Ovis aries: one gene and its partners. The protein of the gene in region 5 interacts with the protein of the main gene of each other region in a pairwise test. Links are inferred from orthologs where the notes say so. Each region holds a gene or a part of one and is shown on either strand. Other genes may lie near its edges. The genes, in order: UBE2K, PSMA1, ENKD1, POLR1C, MKRN3, SFN and FAM110A.

The links.
Region 1: the proteins of MKRN3 (region 5) and UBE2K interact in binary tests that used the Homo sapiens proteins (3 or more experiments, as listed by UniProt). The link is inferred for Ovis aries from reciprocal best matches to the Homo sapiens genes MKRN3 and UBE2K.
Region 2: the proteins of MKRN3 (region 5) and PSMA1 interact in binary tests that used the Homo sapiens proteins (3 or more experiments, as listed by UniProt). The two-hybrid records come from large-scale screens. The link is inferred for Ovis aries from reciprocal best matches to the Homo sapiens genes MKRN3 and PSMA1.
Region 3: the proteins of MKRN3 (region 5) and ENKD1 interact in binary tests that used the Homo sapiens proteins (3 or more experiments, as listed by UniProt). The two-hybrid records come from large-scale screens. The link is inferred for Ovis aries from reciprocal best matches to the Homo sapiens genes MKRN3 and ENKD1.
Region 4: the proteins of MKRN3 (region 5) and POLR1C interact in binary tests that used the Homo sapiens proteins (3 or more experiments, as listed by UniProt). The two-hybrid records come from large-scale screens. The link is inferred for Ovis aries from reciprocal best matches to the Homo sapiens genes MKRN3 and POLR1C.
Region 6: the proteins of MKRN3 (region 5) and SFN interact in binary tests that used the Homo sapiens proteins (3 or more experiments, as listed by UniProt). The two-hybrid records come from large-scale screens. The link is inferred for Ovis aries from reciprocal best matches to the Homo sapiens genes MKRN3 and SFN.
Region 7: the proteins of MKRN3 (region 5) and FAM110A interact in binary tests that used the Homo sapiens proteins (3 or more experiments, as listed by UniProt). The two-hybrid records come from large-scale screens. The link is inferred for Ovis aries from reciprocal best matches to the Homo sapiens genes MKRN3 and FAM110A.

What each region holds. Positions count from the first base shown.
Region 1 is NC_056059.1:59,576,184-59,579,890, forward strand, and holds part of UBE2K (ubiquitin-conjugating enzyme E2 K), read left to right. Parts: intron 1-135; coding exon 136-264; intron 265-904; coding exon 905-979; 3' UTR 980-3,707. UniProt on the Homo sapiens protein: Accepts ubiquitin from the E1 complex and catalyzes its covalent attachment to other proteins. In vitro, in the presence or in the absence of BRCA1-BARD1 E3 ubiquitin-protein ligase complex, catalyzes the synthesis of 'Lys-48'-linked polyubiquitin chains.
Region 2 is NC_056068.1:37,961,906-37,966,356, forward strand, and holds the start of PSMA1 (proteasome subunit alpha type-1), read left to right. Parts: upstream 1-1,623; 5' UTR 1,624-1,682; coding exon 1,683-1,685; intron 1,686-3,280; coding exon 3,281-3,325; intron 3,326-3,576; coding exon 3,577-3,678; intron 3,679-3,797; coding exon 3,798-3,901; intron 3,902-4,451. UniProt on the Homo sapiens protein: Component of the 20S core proteasome complex involved in the proteolytic degradation of most intracellular proteins. This complex plays numerous essential roles within the cell by associating with different regulatory particles.
Region 3 is NC_056067.1:34,775,385-34,779,838, forward strand, and holds the start of ENKD1 (enkurin domain-containing protein 1), read right to left. Parts: upstream 2,949-4,454; 5' UTR 2,889-2,948; exon of another isoform or gene 2,844-2,888; intron 2,663-2,843; 5' UTR 2,648-2,662; coding exon 2,563-2,647; intron 2,478-2,562; coding exon 2,277-2,477; intron 1,736-2,276; coding exon 1,563-1,735; intron 541-1,562; coding exon 415-540; intron 327-414; coding exon 163-326; intron 63-162; coding exon 1-62. Other genes in the region: C14H16orf86 (uncharacterized protein C16orf86 homolog), read left to right, coding at 3,169-3,273, 3,467-3,693, 4,033-4,280, 4,382-4,454. UniProt on the Homo sapiens protein: Microtubule-binding protein which regulates microtubule organization and stability. Promotes the stability of astral microtubules and facilitates the proper orientation of the mitotic spindle.
Region 4 is NC_056073.1:17,062,282-17,065,988, reverse strand, and holds part of POLR1C (DNA-directed RNA polymerases I and III subunit RPAC1), read right to left. Parts: intron 1,864-3,707; coding exon 1,756-1,863; intron 1,544-1,755; coding exon 1,411-1,543; intron 1,125-1,410; coding exon 1,005-1,124; intron 918-1,004; coding exon 765-917; intron 613-764; coding exon 463-612; intron 394-462; exon of another isoform or gene 347-393; coding exon 230-346; exon of another isoform or gene 116-229; coding exon 1-115. UniProt on the Homo sapiens protein: DNA-dependent RNA polymerase catalyzes the transcription of DNA into RNA using the four ribonucleoside triphosphates as substrates.
Region 5 is NC_056071.1:523,661-527,925, forward strand, and holds the start of MKRN3 (probable E3 ubiquitin-protein ligase makorin-3), read left to right. Parts: upstream 1-1,356; 5' UTR 1,357-1,358; coding exon 1,359-2,906; 3' UTR 2,907-4,265. UniProt on the Homo sapiens protein: E3 ubiquitin ligase catalyzing the covalent attachment of ubiquitin moieties onto substrate proteins.
Region 6 is NC_056055.1:240,067,224-240,070,750, reverse strand, and holds SFN (14-3-3 protein sigma), read left to right. Parts: upstream 1-1,601; 5' UTR 1,602-1,659; coding exon 1,660-2,406; 3' UTR 2,407-2,926; downstream 2,927-3,527. UniProt on the Homo sapiens protein: Adapter protein implicated in the regulation of a large spectrum of both general and specialized signaling pathways. Binds to a large number of partners, usually by recognition of a phosphoserine or phosphothreonine motif.
Region 7 is NC_056066.1:59,933,402-59,937,649, reverse strand, and holds the start of FAM110A (protein FAM110A), read left to right. Parts: upstream 1-1,325; 5' UTR 1,326-4,248.

The DNA of each region.
Region 1 (3,707 bases), on a different chromosome or scaffold from region 5:
AGTGAATCAGTCACATTTAAAAAATCTAATCTATATTTATTTAGAAAAATCAGGTTTTTAGGCAATTAAGAGATGAGTTCCTATTTTGAATACTATAACTGCATTGTCATATCAAACAATTTTTCCTCCATATAGTACAAACAAAATCCTGAAATGTTCAAACAGACAGCTCGACTTTGGGCACATGTGTATGCTGGAGCACCAGTTTCTAGTCCAGAGTACACCAAAAAAATAGAAAACCTATGTGCTATGGGCTTTGATAGGGTAAGTACATACAGGCATGTTGATTTTTATTTATTTGTTAAATTATTGTTGCAAATCCTTGGCTGACAAAAGTGGTTCAGTGGTACTCTGAATCTAATTTTGATAAGCAAACTTTGTTATTAAAACTAGTAATTTTTTTTTTTAAACTTTGGCTGGTTCCAGTCATTGATTTTTTATTTTAAAAAATAATTTTATTTGCTTATTTTTGGCTGTGCTGGGTCTCCACTGTTGCTTGGGCTTTTGCTCTAGTTATGGCGAGCTGGGGCCACTCCCTAGTTGTGGCATGCGGGCTGCTTATTGTGATGGCTTCTCTTGTTGCGGCACATGTCGTTGTGACTCCTGAGTTCTAGAGCACAGGTTCAGTAATGGTGGCACGTGGGCTCAATTGCTTCACTGCATGTGGGATCTTCCCCGACCAGGAATCAAACCTGTGTCTTCTGCATTGGCAGGCGGATTCTTTACTTCTGAGCCACCAAAGAAGCTCTAGCCATTGGTTTTAGAGTTTTTAATGCACTACAAGTGCAGGGTAACTTAAAAATGAAAAAACAAGGTGTGGTTTCTTTAATATAAAGACTGAGTGATACCGTATTTTTAAAATATTTCCTTGAGACTTTATTTTGTCCCCTTTTCTTTTCTACAGAATGCGGTAATAGTGGCCTTGTCTTCAAAATCATGGGATGTAGAGACTGCAACAGAATTGCTTCTGAGTAACTGAAACATAAAGAGAGATGCTGATATAGTCAAGCTTGCCCCTTCTTGGAGGAGCATCAACATCTGTTATTTTTAGGATTCTGCATAGATTTCTTTTAAACTGGCATTCTTGCCTAATGATGTTATCTAGGCACCATTGGAGACTGAAAAAAATCCCTGCTCTGTAAATAAAGCTAATTAAACGTCTGTGTAAATTTAAAAAGGGGAAATACTTTAATTTTTTTCTTACTTAATAGTGTAAAAATTCTTTTGAGCTAAGCTAAAACCATGGAAAAAACATGCTACTTTAGTGTTTAGCAGTATACCAAGACTAGCAAGAGTTTGCTTCAGGATTTCGTTGAATAATTAAGATAATATTTTGAGTGTGTCAGGGCCATTCAAATTGTTGGTGTTGCATCACAGCTACCTTAACTGTTTTTAACATGGATCCTCTGTGCCTGTGAATTTACTTGCATGCTTGTACTTGACTTCTTAGGATGGGTAGCTGAAAAGACCACCATTTTAAGCATTTGAGAATTCTTCAATATGAGATTTATCCAGAAATGAAGATGGTGACCTAGTCAGAGCCTTTTTGTCCTTGTCAACAGACTGGGACAACATATCTGTTTTTCCCCTCTTTCCACACACAGCTAATATTCTAATAATAAATTTCTTTATATTTGGTGGGGAAATGTGCTGAAGGACAGTATCCCTTGCTCCATTTTAGGTCATCCATTTGGAATGTTTTGTCACAATTCTCCACTCTTAAAACTTTCCTATATAAATACTGTAAAAATGGAGCTGCCAATTTTCTTTTTTTTTTTTTTTTTGTAAAAACAGTAAATACTTGATGTTGCAGTATTCCCAGATTAAATGAAAAGAACCCAGCTTAATTTTTCAGTGAGTTTAACGTCTTTTGATTTTTAAACTGATGGACTTTTTCTTTGAGAACTTGCAAGGATGAAATCAACTGTTTGCAGGTTTTTTAGCCTGATTTTGGCTTTATAGAGATTGCTTGCACTTCCCCCTATTAACACATGAAAGCTGTGTTGGTGTTTTACTGTACATACTTCAGATGCACATAGGAATAGAAGTGTGTTATAAATCTAGCTTTCTTTATGATGTTTCTGATAATATGAGAATTGAAAACTTTACCTTCTCTTGTACATAGTCAGACTTTCTATACGTATTAAAGTTAAACTTCACTCCAAGTTTAAAGTTTGAAAATTATTAGTTTTGCAAGCTCTAACACTAATGTGAACATTTTATGAAGGGTGAAATGGATTTGTGTAGGCAGTTCTATACATAGAAACACAGTTCTTATTAAATATTCAGGACCAATGCAAAAATAACAAAAATGTAATGAAATCTGAATGAATTAAAGTAAGGCTGTATATGGAAAGTCATATTATAAAAGGTTTTTGCTTTCTTCAAGTGTTATTTATCCTAAATTATAATGGTTAAGTGTTTGGAAAATAGTTTTGAACAGTAAATTCAGCATAATTTCATTTGACTTCTCAATAATCTTAGAAGCAATAAAAAGAACCATTATTAAATATATTGTAATGTTAAGATGTGAAGGTTCTTCCAGAAACATAAGGTTTTCCTAATTAGTAGTAAAACTCTTGTAGTTGATTTTATTGCATACTAAACACAAGTTGCTGTTTTTTCCCCTTTGTTTGCCTAAGTATAAATTTCTTTATACAATCACCTTCTTTAATTGTAATTTAGTTACTTTCTAAAGATGCCAAAGGAAACAAGATTTTCTTTATTTATTTTAAATAGCTAAAACCATGTACTTTTCTTTATATTTTGAGGTAAGGTTGGAATTGTGTGAAAATGTGGACAGTTTTTGTTCCATTGTTGTTTAGAATTATTTTTTTTTTTTTGTTTAGTGGAGGGTGGCTTGGTAATGTTAGTAATATTTGCATTATTTTAAATATCAAACACCTCTACCCAGTTTACTATTTGCCTGTATTATCAGGGTATATTTAATTGTCCTGTGGTTTGACAAATGAGAGAGAGAACTCAGAAGTTACTAAGGATCAAGCATTGTATACTTTGCTCTTGGCGGCAGCTGTAACTTGCCTATGACTTTTATGCACATTAGTCCCTTAGGGTATACTCATCTAACTGCAATTCAACATCCCCAGTGTCCAGGAAATGGAAAACTACAATATTTGGTATGAGAGGTTCTCCATAATGGATCTTCATTTCAAAAATTTACCTCATTTACATTTAATGTGATTATCTGTTTTCTGGTACATTTCCCACTATCGCCTTCTTACGGGGTTTTTGTTTTTTTTCCTATTTTCTCCTATTTTCTACAGATAGATTTATTTCCCCAAACATAAAAATAAAGGCAGTTGCTTTTTTCTCCTGTCTTATATATGTTTAGAAAAAGAATAGTAAAAGTGCAGGTCTAGGGAAAGTATATCCTGTTGGAAATTATTTTTATAATCCTCAGTGGTTTGTGATTTGTTAGTTGTAAAGGCTTCAAAAATTATAGTTAAATGTATGTGTAGTTTTATCCCATCTGGGCAGACAGTTTGCTGCAAGTCACTGATACTCAAATAGTCTTCTGTGATGATCAGGTCTATTTCCTGAGTGTGTGTCTGACTTTTAAAAGAACAAATAATTAGTTGTATTAGTATTTCAGTACAGACTGAATAAGTAGCAGTTTGTGATCCAGATAAGTATACGGTAAGGTATATAAATATTTGATGAACTTGGTACTAAATTAGATGCTCCAT
Region 2 (4,451 bases), on a different chromosome or scaffold from region 5:
ATTATTTATTAAGCTCTTAATATGTAGTAGGCATTATGCTAGGTGCTGGGAAAACAAAAAAACATTTGTTTTTTTTAATCTACTAAATTTTTAATCTACTAAATTTACAGTGATTTTGAAAAATGACAACAAGCAATATTGGTGAATTTAAGAAAGGGATCACTCATAGACAAGGGTTGAGAATACATTTTGGTAAAACATTTCTCCAGAGCAATTTAGTACTTTTTATAAAAGCCTTAGAAATATCCATTTCATTTGACCCTACAATTCCATTTTCAGGAATTTATTCTAAAAAAAGGAGTGCAGATGTGTATACAAAAGATATGTCATAAATAAGCTGCCTGGGAGAGGGGTAACCTAAATATTAAAGACTAGGAATTTGGGTAAATAAAATATCCAGTGCATAATACTAGGGAGTCATGTTTAACCTAGAAAATGTTTAACATGAAGAAATGTCCAAAATATATGAGACAAGGTTTAAAAAAAGAGTCTGATACTAAATTGCTGGGAACTTGAGCAAATCACTTAAGTGAGCTGAGTCTCTTCTTCACCTGCAAAGCTTAGATACTTAAGGACCCTCTCAACTCTTCCGTTATATGACTCTAGGTATCCATCCTTTCTTTTTTATAAAGAAAATACCATCCTTTGTGGTTCAGTTGGTAAAGAATCCGCCTGCAATGCAGGAGACCTGGTTTCGATCCCTGGGTTGAAACGATCCCCTGGAGAAGGGAAAGGCTACCCACTCCAGTATTCTGGCCTAGAGAATCCCATGGACTGTATAGTTCATGGGGTCGCAAAGAGTAGAACACGACTGAGCGACTTCACTTCACTTCATCGTTGGCAGTCGGTAAATGTTAGGTTGGCAGCTGATTGCACAACTGTCCTAAACTATTTCATTCGAGGATTTACTAAAAATTGCTCACAAAAGAGAAAATATGTGTCTTGGAAGAAAATGTCTACCTTTTTCCTTAGTTGCCTAATCTTTCAGCATCGTGCTTGGTTTTGAAGGTACAGAAAGACACTGGCGCCCTCAGAGAGCAAAGTCTCTTGGGGTAAAACCAATAATAATGTTAAAAAGACTGATGATAACAAATCCTTGAAAGATGAGTTCTCCAAGGAGTAGGAGAAAGGATTCCAAAGTAGAAAGAAAAGCATGTTCACAGACAAGATAGAGAGAGAGGATGGTTGGCACAAAAACGGACCATTATTTGTGGCCTTTCTTTCAGTATCGTTCTTCTCATATTACCCAACACCTCATATATCGTTTAAGGGGAGACTGAGCCACACACTCGATCACCTGTAGTCTCTGGTGCATCCGGTCAGGCCGGTGAGAAACTGACAGGAGTCAGCAACACGGAGGTAACTTCACCAAGAACCCAAGAAGGGGTACTTGGTAGCGGCAGCCCAGCAGCTCCTAGTTCCCGCGGGCACTCCTGGCCAAGGTTTCCAGCCAATCTCAGTTCCTCTAGCTTCCCAGGCCCCTCCCACTTCTGAGCCGCCTGAGAGCTTTGAGGGCGGGGAAGCAAGGGAAGCCTATCGATATCTCTGGAATAAACTATTCTACCCTGCGCCGCCGCCGTCAAAGTCCGCAGTCTTCTCTGTAGATCGCCGAGCGGAAGTTTCGGCAGTGCTGTTCCATCCGCTGGTTTGCAGGAGGCCGAAGCCAGGCTCGCGCCGGAACCATGGTGCGTTGGATTCCGAGATTAGGCAGGGTTGGGGAAGAGGTCCGCTGGCTGGGGGGTAGGGGGAGCTTCTTCTCATGCCTTCCTTAGAGCGGCCCGGGGCCATGGGACTTAGGAACCGTTGCCGACGGGATGGTTCAGGCGGTGATTCAGCATCTCCGGCCTGGCCGGGAGAGTGGAGGTCGGTAGTCTGTGCTGCCGCTGCGACCTTTCCCTGGGGTTTGTTTCGCTTTCCACGGGGTCTTGAACAGTATCTTCTCGGTCTACCAGCCGATTTCGCTCCTCAGATTCCTTCAGTCGAGTAAATTCCGAGCGGTCCAGAGAGGGCCCTAGTGCTCTGTGTGGCAGAAAGGAAAAATAGGGACTTAACTTCAGACCTCCTTGTACTGCCAAGTGCGGACTTGATTCCAGGGTTTGGGTTGCTGCCTGGACCGCGTTCATTTTCTTGGCGGGTCCCTCTGCAGTCTTTTTCTTAGAGCTCTGTCAGAAAAAGCCCTTTTCAATCACTTTGTCTGCTGTTGCTGCTGCTAAGTCGGTTCAGTCGTGTCCGACTCTGTGCGACCCCATAGACGGCAGCCCACCAGGCTCCCCCGTCCCTGGGATTCTCCAGGCAAGAACACTGGAGTGGGTTGCCATTTCCTTCTCCAATGCATGAAAGTGAAAAGTGAAAGTGAAGTCGCTCAGTCGTATCGACTCTTAGCGACCCCATGGACCGCAGCCTGCCAGGCTCCTCCGTCCATGGGATTTTCCAGGCAAGAGTACTGGAGTGGGGTGCCATTGCCTTCTCCGACAAATGAGTGAACCGAAGCTGATATTAGTGATGAAATCAGGGTTATAGTATAGAGCTCAGGGATTCCAGGCCAGTGCCTGCCATTCCAGCGCTCAACCTTCTCACCCCCATGATTAGTCTCCCAAGCACTGTGCTGGTGGACTTAATACCGTCTTTAAAGCTGTAATGGGTCTGTTTTTATGGCAGTTTGTGTCCACTTATGACTTCCTGGGGACATTCTTGTGTTCTCATTCAGTATGAATGAATGAAAGGCACGTTCAATATGAATGTTTTAAGGGCAGTGAAGGTTCAAGGATAAATCAGACATATCCCAAATCGTAGTATGAGGCAGAAAAGTAAGTGTAGATAAAGAACTGGTGGGAATATGTTTTGAGATTTGGGGAGAAAAGATGGAGAAGATTTCAAGAGATAGACATTTGAGCTGACTTAAGAAAAGGTAGTAATGTTTTTGACCATTTATTAGGGTCTGAAAAAAGGGAAGAATATTAGCAAAGATAGAAAGGAAAGTGGACATATAGGAACTTTAGTAATTGACTAAACCCAAACCAAGTACTATGAACAGTGTTAGAACTGCTAGACTGATTGGGAAGCTATGTACCATTTAGATCCGCCCCCCCCCATCTCCTTATAAATGTAAAATTGACTTGCAGCTGATTACAGTAGTAATCTTCCAATGAGACTGCAATAGCAGCTTTTCCTTAATGCTGGATGGAGAGAGATGGGAGAACATTTTTTAATGATAGAGCTTGTGAAGATTTTGAATTTGTAATGTTCTTGTGTTAATAGGTCTTTTTTCATTTACTTTCAGTTTCGCAACCAGTATGACAATGATGTCACTGTTTGGAGCCCTCAGGTAAACTTTTGGTTACTGCAATGTGTTTAGAAGCTTATGGGATTGTAGGAAGTGAGAAAATGGAATATAATCATTTTATACGTTCCTGAAACCTAAGTTTATCATTAAAGTCAGTCTTCTAGTTTTAAGAAACAGCATTTGAGATGTAACTATGCCCACTTGAGATTTGGGATTGCTAAATTATGTTAAATATATAAAAGGGTCTTGTAATGACTAAGGTGTGTTGGGTTTTTTTTTTTTTTTCATTTTAGGGCAGAATTCATCAAATTGAATATGCAATGGAAGCTGTCAAACAAGGTTCAGCCACAGTTGGTCTGAAATCAAAAACTCATGCAGTGTTGGTTGCATTGAAGGTAAGTAAAGCAATAAATATATCTTCCTCCTTTAGAAAACACTGTAAAATGTTAGTTTCACTATATAAATAATAAAATTATAAACTTACTCTTTTGTCTTAAATGATGTTTCTATTTAGAGAGCACAGTCAGAACTTGCGGCTCATCAGAAAAAAATTCTCCATGTTGATAACCATATTGGTATCTCAATTGCGGGACTTACTGCTGATGCTCGACTGTTATGGTGAGTATGACCTGGAAAACAAAAGAAATATCCCTTTTGATTCATAATTGATTACATATCTAGAAACAATCCGGATATTTTAGGAAGTTGTCTGCTAGAGTGTTTATAAGTTAAGATTATTAATACCTTAATGTATTTGGGCTCAGTTACTAAGTATTCCATTTCTTGATCACTGTAGCAGTAATTAATAGGATTAACCACATTAACATTAATGCTTTTTAGAAGTCATTGAATAATGTATTACTTGTTAACTCAGTATATATAGTTTGATGTTAGATCTGGGAAGAGCTTGACACCAGGTTTCTGAAGGATCAGCTGAACCACCTTTGCTGTCTTTAATATACCAGTATTCATTTGACATTTATTTTTTGCAAAGCTCAATACTGGATACAAAGAGTATACAAAGGTGAATCAGACAGATCTCATCTTCTAGGAGCTTAAAATCTAGTAGAATATCTGCAATACAAGGTAGAAAGTGGAGAGCAACAGGTATATTTCTTTGGAGGGGGTGGGGGATAAAGATTATTTCCAGTTGAGAGGCATATTGCAG
Region 3 (4,454 bases), on a different chromosome or scaffold from region 5:
CTGGTTGGCTGTGCTGACGGGCCTCAGCCTCCCGCCGCCACAGGTCCCTGCGCTCCAACAAGCTGTGATGCACAGACCCAGGGCTGATGACCCTAGGCAGACGTGGGCTTCCACCCTCCATAAGTGCCCCTTCCCAGGAGTGGGGGGAGCAGTAGGACCTACTAATGGGGCACGTGACCCTTCTGCGTGGCGTTGTAGTGCTCCTGGGCTTGCCGTTGCTGCTCCAGCACCTGTGCCAGGACTTGCAGCGAGCGAGAATGCCGCCGGGGGGCCCTCTTGGCAGTGCGGGCATTGTGCATAATGAAGTCCACACCCAGACCTGGGGCCTGCGGGACATGGCCAGCATGATGAAACAGCACTGTGTGGTGCCCCGGAATCCCTGCCCCACCTCCCAGCCCCCACATATCCTCTCACCTTAGCATTGGGACCTGGTAGGGTTAGCTGGGGACTGGGGACACGGGGTGGTGGGAGCCCGGGGCCGCAACGGGAATGGGCCCGCAGAAAGTGGGCTGGCTCAGTTCTAGAGGCAGGGCCGGGCTCCTGGAGGCCAAGGCAGAGCGGGGGGTGGTCAGTCAGGCTGAAGTCAGGGTCTCAAGCTGTAAGACCATGCCTCTGTCCCTCCTGTCTTTCAGGATCTTTCTCTATCACCAGTCCTCTGGACCTGGCCTCCTTCCTCTTGAATAAGTACTTCCATCACATCAGCATTTAAACCTGTGTGTTTTTCACATCTCTCAGAAAACATATTTCCCTCCCTCTACCTCAGTCCTGGCTTCAGTCATCGTTCTCTTTTTCTCTCCTTCCTAGTCAAGCTTTCTGGCTCTGTCCCTACCAAGGCCACCAACAGCTGGTCTCCAAGCCCCCAAATCCAGGGTCACTTCCCTGGTTTCACTATCCTCAGCCTCGTCCTCAATAGCTCCTGGGTCTCACTTCTGAGATCCAGACCTGATTCTCCATCTGCCTCTTGGACACATTCCCACTCCCTGGAAGCCCCACAAAAGCTTCAGCTTCAACACACCCACATATGACCTTGTCTTTTTTTCTGTCCTACTTCTCCTTCTCAGACCCCTGGAAAGAGAAGTGGCACCACTAGCTACCCCAGATAGAATCTTACCACCATACATACCCCTGCCCTTCCCATTGTCCTTAGAAATAAAGGTTTAAAAAAATGGATTTATGTGGCCCTTTATGATGTGGGTCCAGCTGACTTCTTAGCCTAACCTCATGTTCTTCCTCCCTCATAGTGAACTGAACACAGCATCCCCACTGCCCACACTCCTAAGTCCCTGGTGTTAGGACCAGGGACCCTGGAACCACAAGGTTCCATTTCTATAAAATGTTCTCCTCTATTCTCCCCTTGCCTAATTCCGACTTGCCCCTCAGAATCACCCAGCTGTCATCACTTCAGAGAAAGGCCACAGCCCCACTCTGCAGCAGGACCAGCTCTTCATCCCCTGTGACCTCAGCCCACTGTGGGTTTCCTCCCTCCTCATAACTCAAGTCAGAGTATAATGTCCTGTTGGCCAACAAGACGGGCAACACTTGGGGCTCCCTGAGGCAGGTACCTGCAGCTGAGCCTTGACACGCGACTCCACTTTGTCATACTTGGGTGAGCGCCACAGGGCCTTCAGGGGCCTGGATTGGGCCTGCTCCTGGCTGTGCTCCTGCTCACGGAAGCGCCTCTGGATTTCCCTGATCCGCCTCATGTTCTCCTTCTCATGGTCTTTAGGGTCCTTCCCTGGAGAAAAGATGTTGCCCTACATACAGCCCATACAATCCAACTTACCCCAGTGGACACACAAGCCCACACCCTGCCTCCCTGACATACTCTAAAGTCCACCACATAACCTTGTTCTCGTCCTCACACCATAATTATCTTCTGTTTCTGATGATTTTATACATATTTGATTATGAAGTATACTAGTAATCACCTTGCATATCCTATTCACCTCTTCACTTGTTTTACTGTCTCCCACCTTGATTCAATGATGCGCTTCTTCGACCTTGTTCTCCTAGCACCCATAGGGCCTGGAGCACAGCAGACACTCAACAACCAACCATGCATAAATCCATGAAGCTGAGCTACGGGCTTTTCCGGGGTATGCCTCATTTAGTCCTCTCCTGCGAAGAAGTCGTGCATTTCCCGCTCCTTCTACAGTTGGGGAAACAGACACTCTGAGAGGTAAAGCCTGAGCCCAGAGCAGGGAAGGGGAAGCAGCCGTCTTTTTATCTGTTTTGACTTCAGAGCCGCCTCGCTGTCCGTTCTGACCAGAACTTACTCTTGGGAGAGGCCCCTGGGCCTAGGGAGATACCCCCGAGCTGCAGCAGCACACCACCCACGCCGCGACGGCCACGCTCCAGGATTTCTAGGCCTCCCGGACGGATGCGAGGGGCGCGGGGAGGGGTGGCGTCTAGGTCCGGGTCCGTATCCGTCGTCAGCAGGTCCAACTTCGGCGCGTTTCCCTCAAGGCGCCCTTGGGCTGAGAGGCCAGACGGGGCAGAGTGCGGAGTCAGTGGTGGAGCTGGGCCCGACCCTTGCCAGGCCGCTTTCACTCCCTAACTCACCCGAAGACGGCCTCCGGTAGTAGTCCGGACAGAGCGTAGGGTCTGGGGGGATGGGCCCCGAGATGCGGGACGGACCCTCACACATACCGCCGCCGCCGTCCTGCAAACGTTGCACCTGAGGCCTGCCGGGCTACGCGTCTCTGGCTCCAAACCCGGCTTCTCAGCCCAGTGCCTCCTCCCTGGCCCCGGGTCCTAACCTCAGCCGTGCCCTGCCTGCGTTCCCGGCCCCCACCCCGCCTCCCGGCCCCGGCCTGCGCTCGCCACCTCTGCTCTCAGCCCACCTCTCAGTACCGTTGGCAGGCTTCTCACTCGGGCAAGGGGCTCACCAGAGCGGTTTTGCCGCCCACTGCCGCCACCCGACGGGTTTGCTGTTGCCAGGCAACAATGGTTTCCGTCCGTGAGGTCAGGGGCCAATGGCCTTGGCGCAAAGCCTTCTGGGGCCTGTAGTTCCAGCTGAGGGGGGAGCAGAACGACTGTCAGTTGCCCTTCCCAATCCGGTCCTCTCCCGGGTCCGCTCAGGGTCTACTAGTCTGGCCCCTCAGGATCCGCCCTCCATCCCCAATGCCCCTCAAGCAACCGTCGAGGAAGTGCTGATCCGCCGCAGCTATGGACTCCGCAGGGGCTGAGAAGCGGCCAGGGGCCCAAGAAGGGGCAGCCGTGGGGCAGTCACAGCTTACAGAGATGCCTGGTGGCCATGCTCAGAATTCTGAGGTGACCATCGGGCTGTCTAACCTTCAAACACTTGGGTCATAGCGCTTTAATAGACCAAAACTGCCAGGCCAGGTTCCACAGGCTGGGAGGGGCATGGGCTGGTGCCCTTCATCCAGAGTATTTAGAGTCTAATGGCTGGTCCCTGTATCCTTTACCTGGCCATGGTGACCAGTTACCTGTGTGTCACCGCTAGTGTCCAGTGATGGGAGACCAGGGCCTGGTGCCAGCCCATGAGGCCTGCCAAACCCAGGATGAAGATAAATGTCCAATAAGATCCACCTCAGAGCCAAAGATCCAGGAGAGACTCAAGCTGGAGGAAGACAGGCACAAACCAGAGGTGGAGGCCCTGGAGGAGAGAGGTCCCAGGCCTACGGCCTCCACTGTGAGGCCCAGTCATGGTCCGAAGAGGAAGCCGGTCAAGTGAGGGGGCTTTCAGAGGGAAGAGACTGGGAACTGGGGAGGTGGTGTGGGGGTGGCTCATACCCCAGTTGGATTCTTAAATGGGGCCTTACAGTAGTGTCCATCCTTATCCCCTGACACCACCATCATTCCTCACCTCTGCTGACCCTCCAGAGCCCTGATGTAGGGAACATGCAGAGCAAAAGTCTCAAGGCCTGGTAGGGGACTGAACTCCCATGATCTCTGGGTCCCTGTCCAGTCCAGGGCCTCACTGACCAGGAAAAGGACAAGGATCACGGCCTGGGGAGGTAGGCAGGCAGGACTGTTCCCTAGGACAGGGCACAGGAGCCAAGGCTGCAGGCTGGCTCCTCAGGCCTCCTTGTTCCCCAGCCTCACAGGCCCGAGCCACCAAGCCCATCCTAGGGCAGAGAGTGAGTTGCCACAGGGGCTGTCGCTGCAGAGGGAAGAGCCGGAGAATAATCAGAATGAGCCCTCACCATCTGCCAAACAGCACAAAAAGACCAAGAAGCGCAAGAGTCTGGGAACCCCAGTGCTCCCAGTGGTGGCCAGCACGGTGTCGGCACCCTCAGTGACCTTGGGGCCTGAGCGTGAGTGGCATTTCCTGAGCCTTCCCTTTTGTCCCAGCCAGCTGGACCCAACACAGCCCAGCTTGGCACTCCAGTCATTGCCCTGCCCTGGGTTCTTGTAGGAAAGGCCCAGCGCCTGCGGCCCCTGTACCAGTACATCAACTATTGCAACCCTGAACTGAACCAGGCAGGGGA
Region 4 (3,707 bases), on a different chromosome or scaffold from region 5:
TCCATCTGAACCGCATCCAGTTCGTCCAGGAACCGCTGACACTTCCCCATTAGCACCTTGATGGCTTCACTCACCAGCACATCTGGTGGCAACACCCCTGTGGACTCAACAGAAACTGGGGACCAGAGAGAAACGCGCCTTAACACATACTGCTAGATTCCACGTCTGACCTCCAGCAAACTGTGGCATCAAAAAACCACCACCGTCCCACCCTCAACTTGAAACTCACAAATATAATGGTCTCGAACACGCGCAAGCCGTACAACCTTCTTTAGCTTCTCATTCCGGAAGACTTCCCTGCTAAAGGTATCTAGCCGGGGATTGGCAACTCTGGCCACCTTTTTACCTAATGAAAACAAACCATATTATAAATACATGAGCCCACAACTTGAATTTTTCTCTGCTATCTTCAAAGGAAATATGCTTTAGGGCCGGGCTTACACACCATCCCAAATCCCATACCTTGGATTTCCTGCACCTCAATAACACCAGGTGAGAAGCAACGGCTCAGCTCTTCTGCCGCCTCCCCTTCCACAGGCTCCAGCAGGGTGATATCTGGCAGGAGCCTGTAACTGGCTGTTGCCACAGGTGAAAACTTGGCATGATCTTTGCCTGGAGGAAAGAGGGCACTCAGAGCCTGGGAGGAGACCCTTCTTCACATTCCCTAAGCTACTGAATGAAGGGCCAGTGGCTTTCTGCCTGTTGGGAGTATCTCAGCTGAGTTCCTGTCATGTCTCACTGACAGTGTAGTCAAAAGGTCTCACCGATGCCCTTGACGCAGTGCATGAGCAGGTCAATCTCCTGGCCAGGCCGCAGCTGCGCAATGAGGATGTCGTCGTGCACTGGGCGGATGGCGCCCTCTGGGAAGAGGTCGGCCTGGTTCCCCAGGGGTACCCACGTCATGTGCCTGGTGTACACTGCGGGGGGAGCACATCACACCCAAGTCCCTGAAATGCGCCCACCAGGGAATGAGCTCCCCTCCCCCCACAGCCCCCGGCGCGCACCTCTGTGGTTAACATAGAGCTCATTGGGGTCAGAGGAGTCTTTAGCAGCGTGGGGGTTCCGCGTGCACCTGACCTGCAGCCGGAACTGCAGGGTGTCGATCTCTGTGCCGCCTTCGTCTCCTGCACAAAGGGGGAAGGTGGGGCGCTCACAGCACTGACGGAGACATCAGCACCAGGCACCACGCCGCCCGCCTGGCACATTTCTCTCATTCTCTTGGCAAACACAGGAAGGGCGAGGGTAAGTGTTCTCACAGAGAAGAGCACAGATGCACCCCAAGATGGGTCATGGGCCCAGGGTCCCAAGGTAAATAATAGAGGATTCGAACACAGGCAGTCTGATTCCAGAACCCCTTTCAGAGGAGGACGGCCCCCCTTTTCCCAAAATGTCATTTTCTCAAACCCTCACCTTGGTTCCGATATTCAAAAAGACGGGGGTCGGCATGAATGGGGATGAGGCCCAGGCGGTGGGCGAGGATCTCATCCTGGACGATGGACGTGTTGTTGTACACCAGGACCTTCTCCACAGCCATGGTCGGCACCTGCCCAAGGAGAGAGACCCTGCAGTGCCCCCAGCAACTCCCCCGTGTCCAGATACAGGGAGACCGAGACCTCACTCTAGGAGACTTAATGAAAAGTTTACAAAGAATGAGCAGGAGGAATGCTCGGCAACACTGCAAGAACACCACTTGAGACAATTCCCCAAGTGAGGTCCCCCCCACAACCCCACCTTTGCCACCGTGCCCACCGATACCTCAGCTAACAGAATGCGCCGAAACGCATTGGCAATGGCTGCGTCGATTCCCACCATGTCAAACTCCAATGAGTTTTCATCCATGTGTACCACATCCACACGGAAATTCTAAAGGGATAGGAGAGACACTAAATGAAGCCTGTTTCTGTATATGCAATACCTCCCCACCTGACATTCCCCTCAAAAACCTCCCTTTGCCCAGATGTCCCTCATTAGACCTTACTTTCTCCCCCAATCCTTCATTTGATTTTGGAAAAGCCTTCATTTTTATCTTCCATTCATTTAAAACCCTCTGCAGGGACTTTCCTGGTGGTCCAGTGGTTAATGCAGGAGGGACACGGGTTCGACTCCTGGTCCAGGAATATCCCACGCACCATGGAGCAACTAAGCCCATGAACCACAACTACTGAGCCAGCACCACAGGAGCCCATGCCCCACAGGAAGCAGGCCCCGCAGTAAGAAGCCACTCACTGCACCTAGAGAAAGCCCGGCCCATTAAAGACCAAGCACAACCAGAAATGAAATTTTCTTACAAATTCCTCAAAAAGTAAAAAAACCTTCTGCAATATGGCTTCCAGCCACATTCACAGAGGCTATGTTACTAAGAACAGGCTCACATACTGCTCACCCAGTTGACACTGCTCAACTTTTATCTTACTATACACCTCTGCTACACCTGGGACTGTTGAGAGAAGCCTGTTTCCAAACTCGGCTGCCTTGATTTCAGAGCATCAATCTCCTCCTCCTGGTCTGATCAATCCTTCTAAATCCACAGTCTTCTACCTACTATATAAATGTTACTGTTTCCCAAGTTTTTGTCTCTCTCCAGCGTGACCTCACAGAGAAGGCAATGGCACCGCACTCCAGTACTCTTGCCTAGAAAATCCCATGGACGGAGCCTGGTGGGCTGCAGTCCACGGGGTCTCGAAGAGTCCATCTCGACTGAGCGACTTCACTTCCATGCACTGGAGAAGGAAACGGCAACCCACTCCAGTGTTCTTGCCTTGAGAATCCCAGGGACGGAGGAGCCTGGTGGGCTACCGTCTATTTGGTCACACAGAGTCAGACATGACTGAAGTGACTTAGCAGTAGCAGCAGGGTGACCTCAACCCTGCTCATGATTTCAGCGATAATCTGTATGAACAACTCATATATATATATAAAATCAGTTTGCTGGACTTCACTCACAGGAAACTGAATGCCCCAACAGTCCCCTTCCCCAGACTGATTTCTTATCGCTAAATGACCACCACCCATCAGAGCAGTAATTTTACACTCCCCCCTACAGCCCATATCCAAGCAACCGCCAAATTTACCTTTCGTCTCCCCTGTGCTCTATTTCATCATCACACTCTTCATTTCTGCCTTCAGCCTCAACTTCCCTATGCAACTGTCACAAACTGTGCACACCCCACAGGACAAGCCTCAAATCCTCTACCTCTAAGCTTGCAGATATGATCCTACTTGCTTAAGAACTCTTCCAGAGCTCCCTATCACCTCTGGTGCCTAAAATGCACTTCAATCTTGCCTACCACTGAGCTGCTTACACACTCCTCAGCCTCTGCTCCTTGTTCAAGGCCGAACTTAGATGTCACCTCCTTCAGGAAATCTTCCATACCTCTGCTCCCCATTCCCATTCTGGATTAAGTGTCTGTGTGGGATACCCCCCAAAAAAATCCCGACCTCCACCCTACCGCCATCATCTTTTTTTACTTTCAGCTGCCTTTGCCACATTACACTGGAGTCATTTGTTTATGTTGGCCTCATCATACACAGACATTAGGCAAAAGGCAAAGCCACCTCTCCTTGTTTTGCACTGAATGAGATGAAGCATGGAGAAGTGGCATCAGGAATAGGAATTAAACCTTGATTAAACTTTGTGACACCTATATCGGAAACCCTGACTAGTAACCCAACAGAGCTTGGCCAAGCATGCGCAATAAAGGTTCTAT
Region 5 (4,265 bases):
TCACTTTAGGTTCAAGAATCTTTTCAAAGGATTTTGATTAATTCCCCCGACTTCATATTTGTTTTATTTTAATTTATCATGTTTATGATTTACTTCAATCTAATTTCTGTGCTATATTCATATTTTCTCAAATTTTCAAATAAAAATTGAAACATAAAATTTCCTCTAAGAAACTTATTTTAGCAAACAAAATCTAATACTATGTAAAATGATAATCATACCACAAAAGGTTTTATTCCTGGGGGAAAAAGGGTAAGTTAAACATTGAAAAATCTATCAGTGTAAATAATCACAATAAAATTAAAAAGAGAAAAATAACATGATCATCTCTTTAAAAGTACAGAAACCTACATGATAAAATTCAATATACATCAACACTTTATATTTATAACTACTTTGTTTACTAATCTAATAAGATGCATGTGCAAAATGACAGCTCAGATGAAATTAAAAACCACCACATGGGCAGAAGGGTAGAGGATTTACCATGAAAGGCTGGCCCAGCACAATACCTTACAAAACTGGGTGTAATAAAGAAACAGAAACAAAGAGCCACTGTGAATTAAATCAGAAAGAGGGAGGGAAAAAAGCAAGCCAGGGTCACAACGGGGACAGAGGCTTATTAAGCCAGCATCAGGACCAGCAAGGTCTGAGGTTTCTGCACAAAGGGAGCGAAAGCCTGGAAACCACAATAACCTCACCCGGCTGAAAGACACTAAAGCAGCCTCAGACCAGAGGTCTGCTCATGCCTCACTGGTGAAAAGCCTTTCCAACCGAAGCCTGTAAGAATTACCAGAATACAAAGAGCAGAAGAAATGAGCTCTTGTCAACACAACTAAATGAATAAAGCTTCCAGAAGCAACAGTTAAGGTATTCAGAACGAAAAATAATTAAAACAAAAACAGATCCACATAGACATAAAATGAAGTGAACAACACATTTATAAAATTCATGTGTGATATGGTTCAGAAACAAGATGAATTTTACGCAGTGGAAAATTTTTAAAAAGCATGAGGATTATGTTTTCAATTGACACGTATGAGAAACCAATGAAATCAATGCGTCCGAAGGAACACAGGAAGGGATTGCATTAAAACCTCAAAGGGCTGTGATTTCTTCCGTCAGAGGAGCCGCGGGAGGACGAGGGGCTGCACGCAGCCGAGCAGGGGCGGCGAGCCGGGCAGCTCTGCCGAATGCGAACAAAAGAAGATGTCGGTCACAATTCCAGCCGGACCGGCTGCGCACCGACCCAGTGGAGGACTGACGTTGTCACCACAGGAAGTGTGTGCTGCGCCTGCTCAGAGAAGGAAGTAGGAACGCAGGCACAGGAAGCAGGGACAGGGGGAGAGGAAAAACAGATGCACAGCTCCAAAGGAGGAGTCCCGGAGCTGGCTCGTGGCCTCCGGGCCTCAAGCCCGAAAGGAAGACACACCGGGGAAGTTCCGGTACCATTTTGGGGACTAAAAGCTGCCATGGAAGAGCCTGCAGCTCCCAAAGAACCCCACGAGGCAGCTGGGGCCTCTAGGGGTGCAGAGGCAGCAGGGGAAAGTGCCCCACGGCCCACCCTCCCGGTGCGCCCTGTTTCCCGGTGGTCTTCGGTTCCAGGCCCATCCCCGTTCCGCCCATCACGTCTGAGGCCTGCCCAAGCTTCGTGGGGAGGGGCCGGGCCCAGCTGGCTGCAGAGCCGGAGCACTGGCAGCTGGACAAAGCAAGTCATCTGCAGGTATTATCTGCATGGGCTGTGCAAGGAGGGGGAGAAGTGCCGATACTCCCACGACCTTTCGGGCCGGCAGGTGGCCAGGGAGGGCCCTGGCTCACAGCCCCAGGCCTCTGCAGACAGCGGCCCTAGCACGGCTGCACACATGGAGCCCCTGCCTCAACAAGTGGCGGAAGCCCCCCCTGCTGTTTCCTCACGTTCCTTGCCTGTGATTGGCTCGGCTGCTCAAAGGGGTTTGTTTGAAGCCAAGACAGACAATGCAGGCCTTGAAGCTGCTGGAGGAGCAGGTGTAGAAGGCTGGGAGAATGCCGTTGAATTTGTTCCCGGGCAACCCTACCGGGGCCGCATGTTCCCTTCTGTCTCCGAGGCTCCTCTGCAGAGCTCGGTGATTGAGAGTGGGCAGATTGTTCTGGGCATGGGGAGGCAGCTTTGCCGCGATGCCATCGCCGGGCAGTGCTTTCGTGGGCAGAGCTGTATTTATCTCCATGGAGATATATGTGATATGTGTGGGCTGCCGGTCTTGCACCCTTTGGATGGTACCCAGAGGGAAGACCATGTAAAGGCCTGCATTGAAGCACACGAAAAGAATATGGAGCTCTCTTTTGCCGTGCAGCGCAGTGCGGACAAAGTGTGTGGCATCTGCATGGAGGTTGTCTATGAGAAAGCCAACCGGAATGATTGCCGCTTTGGCATCCTCTCCAGCTGCAACCACACGTACTGTCTTAAGTGTATCCGCAGGTGGAGAAGTGCCAGACAATTTGGGAGCAGAGTTATCAAGTCCTGCCCTCAGTGCAGGGTCATGTCCACCTTTGTCATTCCCAGTGAGTTCTGGGTGGAGGAGGAAGAAGAGAAGCAGAAACTTATTCAGCAGTACTTGGAGGCTTTGAGTCACAAGACCTGCAGGTATTTTGCTCGAGGCAGGGTCTGCCCATTTGGAGAGAACTGTTTTTACAAACATGTGTATCCTGAGGGCCAGGGAGAGGAGCCTCAGCGGCAGGGTGCTGAGGCATCTGGTACTTGCCATTGGGAACCTTTGGAGCCTCTGCAGGTGGGAGAGGGCAACATGCCCTTTAAAAGCAGTAGAAAAGAGCTTGTCATGCTTTGGCTGGCCAATCTGTTGTGTAAGTGTTTTCACCAGGAGCCATGTGCTCCTCTTCACAGAGGTCTGGTGGGACTTGCTTCATTGTGAGCTGGAAGAATATTGCACTTTGAATCTGTGGCATTCTGCTGTGGCATGTTGTTTGGTGTGCTGAGGCTCTGTCATCTGCTCTTGTCTGTGTTTTGTTTATAGACACATCTGTCACTTCCAGGGGCTGCTGAAAGCATTTGTATAGAAACATCCATCTGTTTCCTTGACCATTCCCATTTCTGGTCCCCCAGGATTATGGTGTTTCACTGTGTTAAAAAGTAACAAAACATCCTCAAAGTTATTGTTTGGTGAAATTAATATGACTGTCAGTTTATGGTTTATTTTGTCATCTGTTTTTAACAGGATTGACTCAGTTCTAGTCTAGTGTTTACAGAATTTCCACACTCATTTTGAAGCCCCTCAAGAATAAATGTGACAGGGTGAAGGGAGAAGTCTAAACTGAACCAGGAGCTTTTTGCTGCTTCAGTCTTAAGAAATGGACCCTCGTGGGGCTTTATGGTGCAGCTTCAGTATCTCTGTTGTTTACACATCTGTTCCCTCCCCCATTCCCCTTCAAATGCACTCTTAACTTGTGGTTACCTTGTGGTTTTATGTTTTACTTGACCAGAACCAGATGCATATGTTTACGTGTTTTTATCCTGTTCAACTTGATGTGAAATCATTTATATTTGAAAGTATATATGTAAGAATTATATATATATATATACATGCACATTAACGTGTATGAAAGTTATGCATTTGAAAATATTTATTTAAGGTGTATACTATAATATAATCTTTATTTAATAAAATAAATACTGAGCTGGAAGCTGAAGGTGAAAGGTTGATAGGATTGCTGTTGTGTGAGTGTGAAGTATGTAAATTATTTTTCTGTCCCTCTCACAGGCTTCAGTGATTAGCATCTAATGAAAACAGCTATTTCAGTGGCTCTATCTAAATGTAGCAGACACAGATCTTAAAGAATTTACAGAATATGACACTGGTAATTACTGTGATGCCATTAATAGCTCGCTGCTATGTGGGTTCCCATGCAGTTTAGCCACTGTATCATTATTTAAAACAACACAGTCTTTGACTCAGATACACAGTTCTTTGTGTTCAGTATTTTGTGTCATCCATAGACATATCAGAGAAGGGGCTTTTGACAGAAGTTTTTGGCATAAAAGTGATAAGATTATAAAAAGTAAAATAAAATAATAAACATATTCAAATAAGTAATAATGCAATAATGGAAAGACAATAAATGAAATATAGAAAGTAATGAAAACTGAATAAATATAAGCTGGAAAGTTAATAATGCCAATATACCATAATTATATTAAGTGGAAATATTTTAAAATCTGAAGATTAGCAGACATAATTAAAATGAAAATGAGACTATATATTTTTTAACTATAT
Region 6 (3,527 bases), on a different chromosome or scaffold from region 5:
AAATAGTTCTGGTTCAAGCATTAAACTGGCTGGATCCCAGAGAGAGGAGCCCCACCCCGAGCCCCATCTGAGCTTTGGCTAGAGGTAGAGTAGACAAGCAGGAACCCACCCTCCTAGGTGCAATGCCAACACCTTTGGGTGAAAATTTCAACTGACATAGAGACAGGGTCTCAGTGAACAGGGACAAAAGATTGGCAACAGAGAAGTCTCCATCTCTGAAGCTTCTGCCAGGAATCAGAAGTGGGGCCGTGGTCAGAGGGAAGGGCAGGGAAACTTCTGAGAGGCAGGCTCATTCAGCTGGGGGGAAGAGGAAGGCAGCGCTCAGCTGGGACTGCTGCCCCATAAAACGAAACGACATGCATCACAGCCGCCTCCATCGCCTTGGTCCTGTCTTTTCTCCCCAGTTGCTAGCGTTTCCCCCCCTCCTGGTACCCAGCTGGGCAGGGTACCCAGGTGGCGGGCATCCCTGCCTCTGACAGAGGGCGGGGCTGAGTTAGGCAGGAAAGTGGAACAGCCAGTGAGCTGGGTCCCCACCCTCTGTGCGCCCCACTGACACATGATGGCAGACAGGGGGGGCAGGTGACCTGGTGTGGACAGCCAGAGGGCAAGTCCTCAGACAAGTGGCAACAGGCCACCAACTTGAAAGGGAAAATTGTGCTGTGATGGGGAAGGTATCCAAAAAACCTACTGGGTGACTAATTACAAAGGCTAGGCCAGAGCGTCAGAGGCCGCTCGTTAAACACCTCATTAAGTGGCACTCTGAAAGCTGCCACTTTTGCATTCTGGGAGCTCAGAGGGGACAGGATCCTGAGGAGGAGTGAGGGGTGGTGGGTAGAACCATTTCAGGTAGACTCTGGAAGAAGCCTGCATGTCACTTTTAAATAGTCTGGAGCTCACAAGTCAAAAGACTTGATGGGAGCAAAGCCAAATTTAGTAGCTGTGTGACTGTGAGCAACTCTCATCTTTCTCTGAGCCTTAAAGCGGTCCCGCCTCTACAGTGGGAGTAGTGTCACAGACTTGCCCATTTCACACAGACAGAGCAGGTTAGATTAAGTTAGATCATGGGTATGAAGGCGCTTGGGAAGCTAGCTACCGCCCTACCTAAACAAAGAGTTATCCCTCCTGAACCAATATGGGAAACACACCTGGCAGGACTGGGAACCGCATCCTCCTGCACCTGGCTTTATGGGCTCTGCCTAGGCCCATAGCGGCCAGGTAGCTGAAGCCATCCTCAACCCGTGTAAGAACACGGTGAAGGAGGATCTGATTTCAGCAACTGGGACAGCTACCTACGGTAGGCATGTAATAGAAGCCCTGAACCAGAGCGGGCAGCCTGGGGCCTGGAAAGGTGTCGGTGCAGGTGAGGCCAACGCCCAAATCTCTCCCGCTGACAGTCCGGATGACTCACCCCCGGCCCCCGCCTCCCTACCCGCCATCCAAGCCCTTTTACCTTTAAGGAAGAGCGGAAAGGGTGTGGGGGCGAAGAGGAGAGGGAGGCAGGTCCGGGGCCCTAGCCCCGCCCTCTGCCCCTCCCACCCTTCTCTGGGCCTGGCCTTCCAGCCAAAAGGCGGGCAGAGAGCAGGAGAGGCACAGAACCCGGCCTTGGTTCCGAGGCAGCCAGTTAGCCCGCCGCCCGCCTGTCTGCCTGTCCCCAGAGCCATGGAGAGAGCCAGTCTGATCCAGAAGGCCAAGTTAGCCGAGCAGGCCGAACGCTATGAAGACATGGCAGCTTTCATGAAGAGCGCTGTGGAAAAGGGCGAGGAGCTATCCTGCGAAGAGCGCAACCTGCTTTCAGTGGCCTACAAGAACGTGGTGGGTGGCCAGCGGGCGGCGTGGAGGGTCCTGTCCAGTATCGAGCAAAAGAGCAATGAAGAAAGCTCGGAAGAGAAGGGCCCGGAGGTGCAAGAGTACCGAGAGAAGGTGGAGACGGAGCTCCGGGGCGTGTGCGACACAGTGCTGGGCTTGCTGGACACCCACCTCATCAAGGAGGCCGGTGACGCCGAAAGTCGGGTCTTCTACCTGAAAATGAAGGGCGACTACTACCGCTACCTGGCCGAAGTGGCCACTGGCGACGACAAGAAGCGCATCATCGACTCAGCCCGGTCGGCCTACCAGGAGGCCATGGACATCAGCAAGAAGGAGATGCCGCCCACCAACCCCATCCGCCTGGGCCTGGCCCTGAACTTTTCCGTCTTCCACTATGAGATCGCCAACAGCCCCGAGGAGGCCATCTCTCTGGCCAAGACCACCTTCGACGAGGCCATGGCCGACCTGCACACCCTCAGCGAGGACTCCTACAAAGACAGCACCCTCATCATGCAGCTGTTGCGAGACAACCTGACGCTGTGGACGGCCGACAACGCTGGGGAAGAAGGGGGCGAGGCTCCCGAGGAGCCCCAGAGCTGAGCCGCACCCGCTGCACGCCCTGCCCTACCCTGCCCGCTCCAGTCCCCCACTCCCGGCAGAGAGGACTTGTATGGGGTGGGAGGTCCGACCCTTCTCCCCAAACGCTCTGGCCCAGCTCAGAAAGGCTCCATAGAGAGGAACAAGCAGAGCCGAGTCCCCCTGGAGCCAGAGGATTCCATACTTCCTGCAGCTGTCAGGGGCTCCTGGCCACTGGTCATCATCCAGCCCTGCTCTGTCTCCACCCCCGCCCCCCGTCCCAGACACCCCCCCCCCCACCCTGACCACTTCCTCCCCACTCCAACCCCCTCCCGCCCCTGCTACCTATGGATCTTAGGAATTGAGGAGTGTCCCATCCTTAGAGCTGAAAACCGAACTGTGTGGCAGAGGTTGGTGATGAAGGTGTGTGTGTGCGCCTGTGTGTGTGTGTGTGTGTTGTGCAGCAACCAGGACCCAGGATGAGAGGGAGAGCATGTCTGCTGGGTGTGACCATGTTTCCTCTCAATAAAGTTGCCCTGTGACACTCCGCCTGTCTTTTTCAGTTATTGCGGAAGGGCGGGACAGGGATTGGTGTGTGAGTTACAGAGACCCTGACCTCCTTGGGGCTGGCTCAGTGACTCGCAGGCAAGACTCTGGAGCCAGGAGAGAGGCTGGGGATCCAGCCCTCTCCATCAGGGTCTGGTCTAGTCCCCTCAAACTGGTCCTATCCCGGGAGGGTCGGGTGAGCAGCGCCAAGGCGGCTTGGAGACTCCTCTGCCAGGAACGTGGGGTGGGAGGCTGAAGCGCTCAGGTGTGAGGGGACAGTCTCCGGGGTGAGGTCGGAGGGGTACGCCGCAGTGAGCGGCACTGAGCACCTCAGACCTGAAAGCGGGGAACAGTCCCATCAGATCTGAGCGGAGGGAAGTATCACCAGGGGGCGGGTATGACGCCGCCATTAAAAGCTCAGGTCTGAGGAGAAGACCGCCTTCCAATGTTCGGAGATGGGGACAAAATAAAACAGGCCGTTGACGAAGAAGTGCAACTTGAGTGCGAAGAGCCGCCAAGAGCGGGTTCGGCCGCGGCGGGCCAAACCCACCGCCCCCGCATCTCTGCTCCCAGCAGCGACGCTCCTCCGCCTTCGGCCG
Region 7 (4,248 bases), on a different chromosome or scaffold from region 5:
TTTCCAGGCAAGAATACTAGAGTATTCTTTCTCCTTCTCCAGGAGACCTTCCTGACCCAGGGATCAAACCTGTGTCTCCTGCATTGGCAGGCAGATTTTTTTACCACTAGGGCCACCTGGGAAGTCCATTACGTAAATATAGTACATGTGATATTACCATTATGTATTTAATGCATATTTGTGTTGTACATAGTGCTTTGAAACATACTTTTGAAAAATTCAATCTTTCTTAGTGCTAAATATATTTTAATCATATCATTTTTAATGACTGTATAATATTCCTCAGCAAAAAGTGAGGATATTTAAAGGTACTTATCAGAGGGTTATGCCATGAGCAGTGATGAGAGTTTTGTCATGCAAAGCTTCTGGTATATATAAAAACCTCAATAAATTCAGTTCTTCCGCAGGATGGATTTATATAACCAATTTCCTTTCACTGAGCACTTAAGTTATTTTCATTATTTTGCCATGATAAAGAACGCAGGGCATATTAATCTTCGCTCACATCCTTAGTAAATTTCGGGACTGCTGGGCATGCCCATCTTCACACTAACTTGCTCAGCATTGAGCAGTTAGAGGAACAGACAGGAAAACTGGCTTGCACTGGTTCACATAGCCTGTCAGCTGAAGTCAGGACTGCTGCTGCTGCTGCTAAGTCGCTTCAGTCGTGTCCGACTCTGTGCGACCCCAGAGACGGCGGCCCATCAGGCTCCCCCGTCCCTGGGATTCTCCAGGCAAGAACGCTGGAGTGGGTTGCCATTTCCTTCTCCAATGCATGAAAGTGAAAAGTGAAAGTGAAGTCGCTCAGTCGTGTCCGACTCTTAGCGACCCCTTGGGCCCACCAGGGTCCTCCGTCCATCAGCTAAGTCCCGGGTGAACAAGAGAAAGAATTAGCCGCTTGAGCTAAAGGGGCTGCTCAAAGAACCTGAGACCACCGGGAAGCTGAAGGGCGGGGAGGGACTGAGAAGGCAGGGCGCTCCCACGCCAGGCCGAAGCTAAGCCGTTGCCTGGCAATGCGGGCGGCGCGGAGTTCGAACGGAAGCGAGAAACCAATCAGGATGTCCGGGGCAAACCATTCTGGTGTCGGGGAGGGGGGTGAAGCGACGCGCTCATTTCCCCTTCCCCCGGTGCCCCGGGGTTTTCGCTTCCCCTCTGTGCCCCCAGACCTTCGCTCTGTCTGGGACCTTGGGACAGTCAGGTTCTCCGGCTTATCTCGGGTGCGGAGCACAGCTCCGAAGAGGCCCCCGCGGGTCCTCACGTGGGGCTTGGGCCTCCCGAGCCGTGTTGGGTGCGGCCATTCCCCGCCTGACTGGGTCCGAGCTGTCAGCCTCCTCAAGACCCACACTGGAGGAGCGGGACTCGCCTAGGCGAGGCTCCTTGTGAGGGCACGGGTGGTCCGGGGCGCGAACCCGGGTGTAAGGGGGCGCTGTATTCACCCCTGCGGTGCGTGTTCTCTCCGAGTCCTACGAGGGTACCCCATTTCACAGATGAGAACGCTGAGGCTCAGAAAGACGAAGTCTGGCAGAGAATCTGATTCAGATCTTTCTGCTCCATCTCGCAGTCTCTAGCATAATAGTTCTAGATTTGCCTTGAGAGACCCTGACAGGTAACTGGTGGTCGCTTTCTTAGCCTCTGATCAACAGGAGCATGAGAGCCCTGGCTGCATCCGCTCCAGGCTGCCTCTCCCCAGCGTCGGCCTGGGGTCTTCTCCCCACCATCTGTCTTCATTTCTCCAGAAAGCCAGGGGTGGACTTGGGGCTCACTTGAGATCCTTCAGCTTGCAGGGCTCTGAATTACAGAGCTCTCCCTCTCAGAGAGAAGATACGGGTGGCTCAGGCAGGACTGACATTTCTGAGCTAGGTGCCAGGTGGGGAGCAGATGCTTTGGCCCTGGAATTGCTGTAGGACTCTTGGGAATCTACTGCGGGTTGGGCAAAAGGGTAGGCACAGCCCTCAGCCAAAGACGCTAGTCACCAGAGACACTGGACTTGGTCCTGGGCCCAGGACCGCTCCTGGTAGAGCATCTGACCTACACCAGGCCTTACCTCCTGGGGAACCCCCTCCCCACCTGCTGGTTGCTATGGGTTTCCTTTCGTAGGTGGGCAAACTGAGGTTCTAAAAAGTTAAGCCCCTTTGCCCAAAACCACATGGTCAGACTTGGCAACTCTGGGGCTGGTTCCCAATCTGTCTGGCTTCCATCTTAGAATCCTAGACACTCAGAATTGTAGCATCTGGGAGTCTAGAATCTCTTCAAGGGGAATTATTTATCCTCTCTCCTCCAAACCAGTCTCCTGGCTTTAAAGGGAGCAGAGCTCTGGAAATTCAGAAAGAAAACAAGTCTTCATTCTTTCAACAAATATTTACTCACTTCATATGCTCTGCCTTGTCTATTTTGTTTTTCTCAGTAGCATTTACCCCATCCAATGTCCTATAATTTCACTTATTAGCGAGTTTATTATCTTCCCGGACTGGAATGTGTTGCAGGGAAGGGTTAGGGTGAGGTAAATGAGGTAATCGCCTCCAGTGTGAAACTGAGGGGTGCCCAAAGCCCTAGGAATCAAAATGACTAATGCTAACATTTATTGATCATTTTTGTGTGTTCTGCTGGTGGGAGATCAACTCCCTGGATCACAGTCCCTCATCTCTGTCACAATTACACATGCACCCCCTGACCTAGCTGTCCCACTTCTGGGCAGAATGATATAGGTGCAGTGAGCCCACAGTGTGGGGTTTTTGGGTTTTTTAAGGCTCTGCCTGAGAACTCTTTTATTTATTTGTTTATTTTTGGCTGGGCTGGGTGTTCGTTGCTGCCTGGGCTTTCTCTAGTTGCAGGCTTATCATTGTGGTGGCTTTTCTTGCTGTGGATCATGGGCTCTAGAACTTGGAGGCTTCTTTTGTTGTGGCCTAGTTGCTCCATGGCACGTGGGATCTTCTACCAGGGGTAGAAGCCATGTCCCCTGCATTGGCAGGCAGATTCTTAACCACTGGCCCACCAGGGAAGTCCCACAGTGTGGTTTTTAATAGAGACTAGACACACGCTCAGTGGCCATTGGTAGGGACTGATGGGCTCTTTATGTAGTACAACATATATTATTTTGTTAATAACATTATAATTAATAACATGCTAATAACATATTAAGAACATATATTATTCAATGAAAGAATAAATGAAAACAATGCACAGAACATGTTGCTATGTGTAAAAAAAATAGAATATATGTCCATTGTTGCTTGTATGTGCCTGAAATCTCCCTGGAAGGACATATAACCATCTGATCATAATGATTCTTGCAGGGAGGGGAACTGGGTGGCTGGGGATAGGAGTGGAGGGAGGTGTTTTTCTTTTTTTAATTTCCTTTACAGCTTATGAATCTTAAGCCATGCACATGTATCACCTGGTTGAAAAAATATGTGTGTATTATAGATTGTTTATCTAATCATGAGACCACTGCCCTGTCTATGATCTGTCATTAACTTTCTTGTGACTTTGGACAAGGTTCTTGACATCTCTGCGCCGAGAAAAGAAGCCATGATGGTGCGCTTCGGCCCAGGCAGAGGGCAGTCCGGGACAGGAAGTGGGCTTGGTTGTGGGTCTGTCCCAACTCCACCTTCCGCATCCTGTGTGCCAGGCCCTTCCCTAAGGCTTTGCGCGCAGTATCTCTCTTAGTCTGCACTGCGAGTCCCTTTGTCCTCATTTGGCAAGCTCAGGTGCAGACCTGAGGCCCAGAGGACTGAGTTGGTGGAGGTGTGCAGTTGGTGGGCCAAACGGGAGATTGCTGCCTTAGGCAGCTGCACCCACACCGCTTCTGTGGCCTGTTTACCTTTCTCTTCCTGAGGTTTGTGCAAGGTTGCCCTGGGCAAGGCTGACTGCAGGCAGGCCAGGGCACGAACATCTGGGAAAACTCCAGAAATAGTGTGGGGCCTGGCGTGGGCCTGGAGGATGCCCAGCTGGGTGTCTCTGGCCCTGGCAGCTGTCCTGGAGTCTTCTGCTGCCTGGAGCCTTCCTGGCTCCCTCTGGGGCAGGAGAGGGCCTCTCTGTCTCCACCGAAGTCTGGGCTGGACTTCTGCTAAGGAAAAGGAGAAGCAGGTGGAAGGGAGGGGTGAGGTGGAAGTGCACAATGTCATAAAAATGATAAACATCAGAAACCACACCTCCTGCCCCCTCAGCAAAGAATAGAAATCACTGACACCTCTTGATCCCTTACTGTGTGCTAAGTAATTTACAAGTGTGAACTCCTTCAATTCTGTC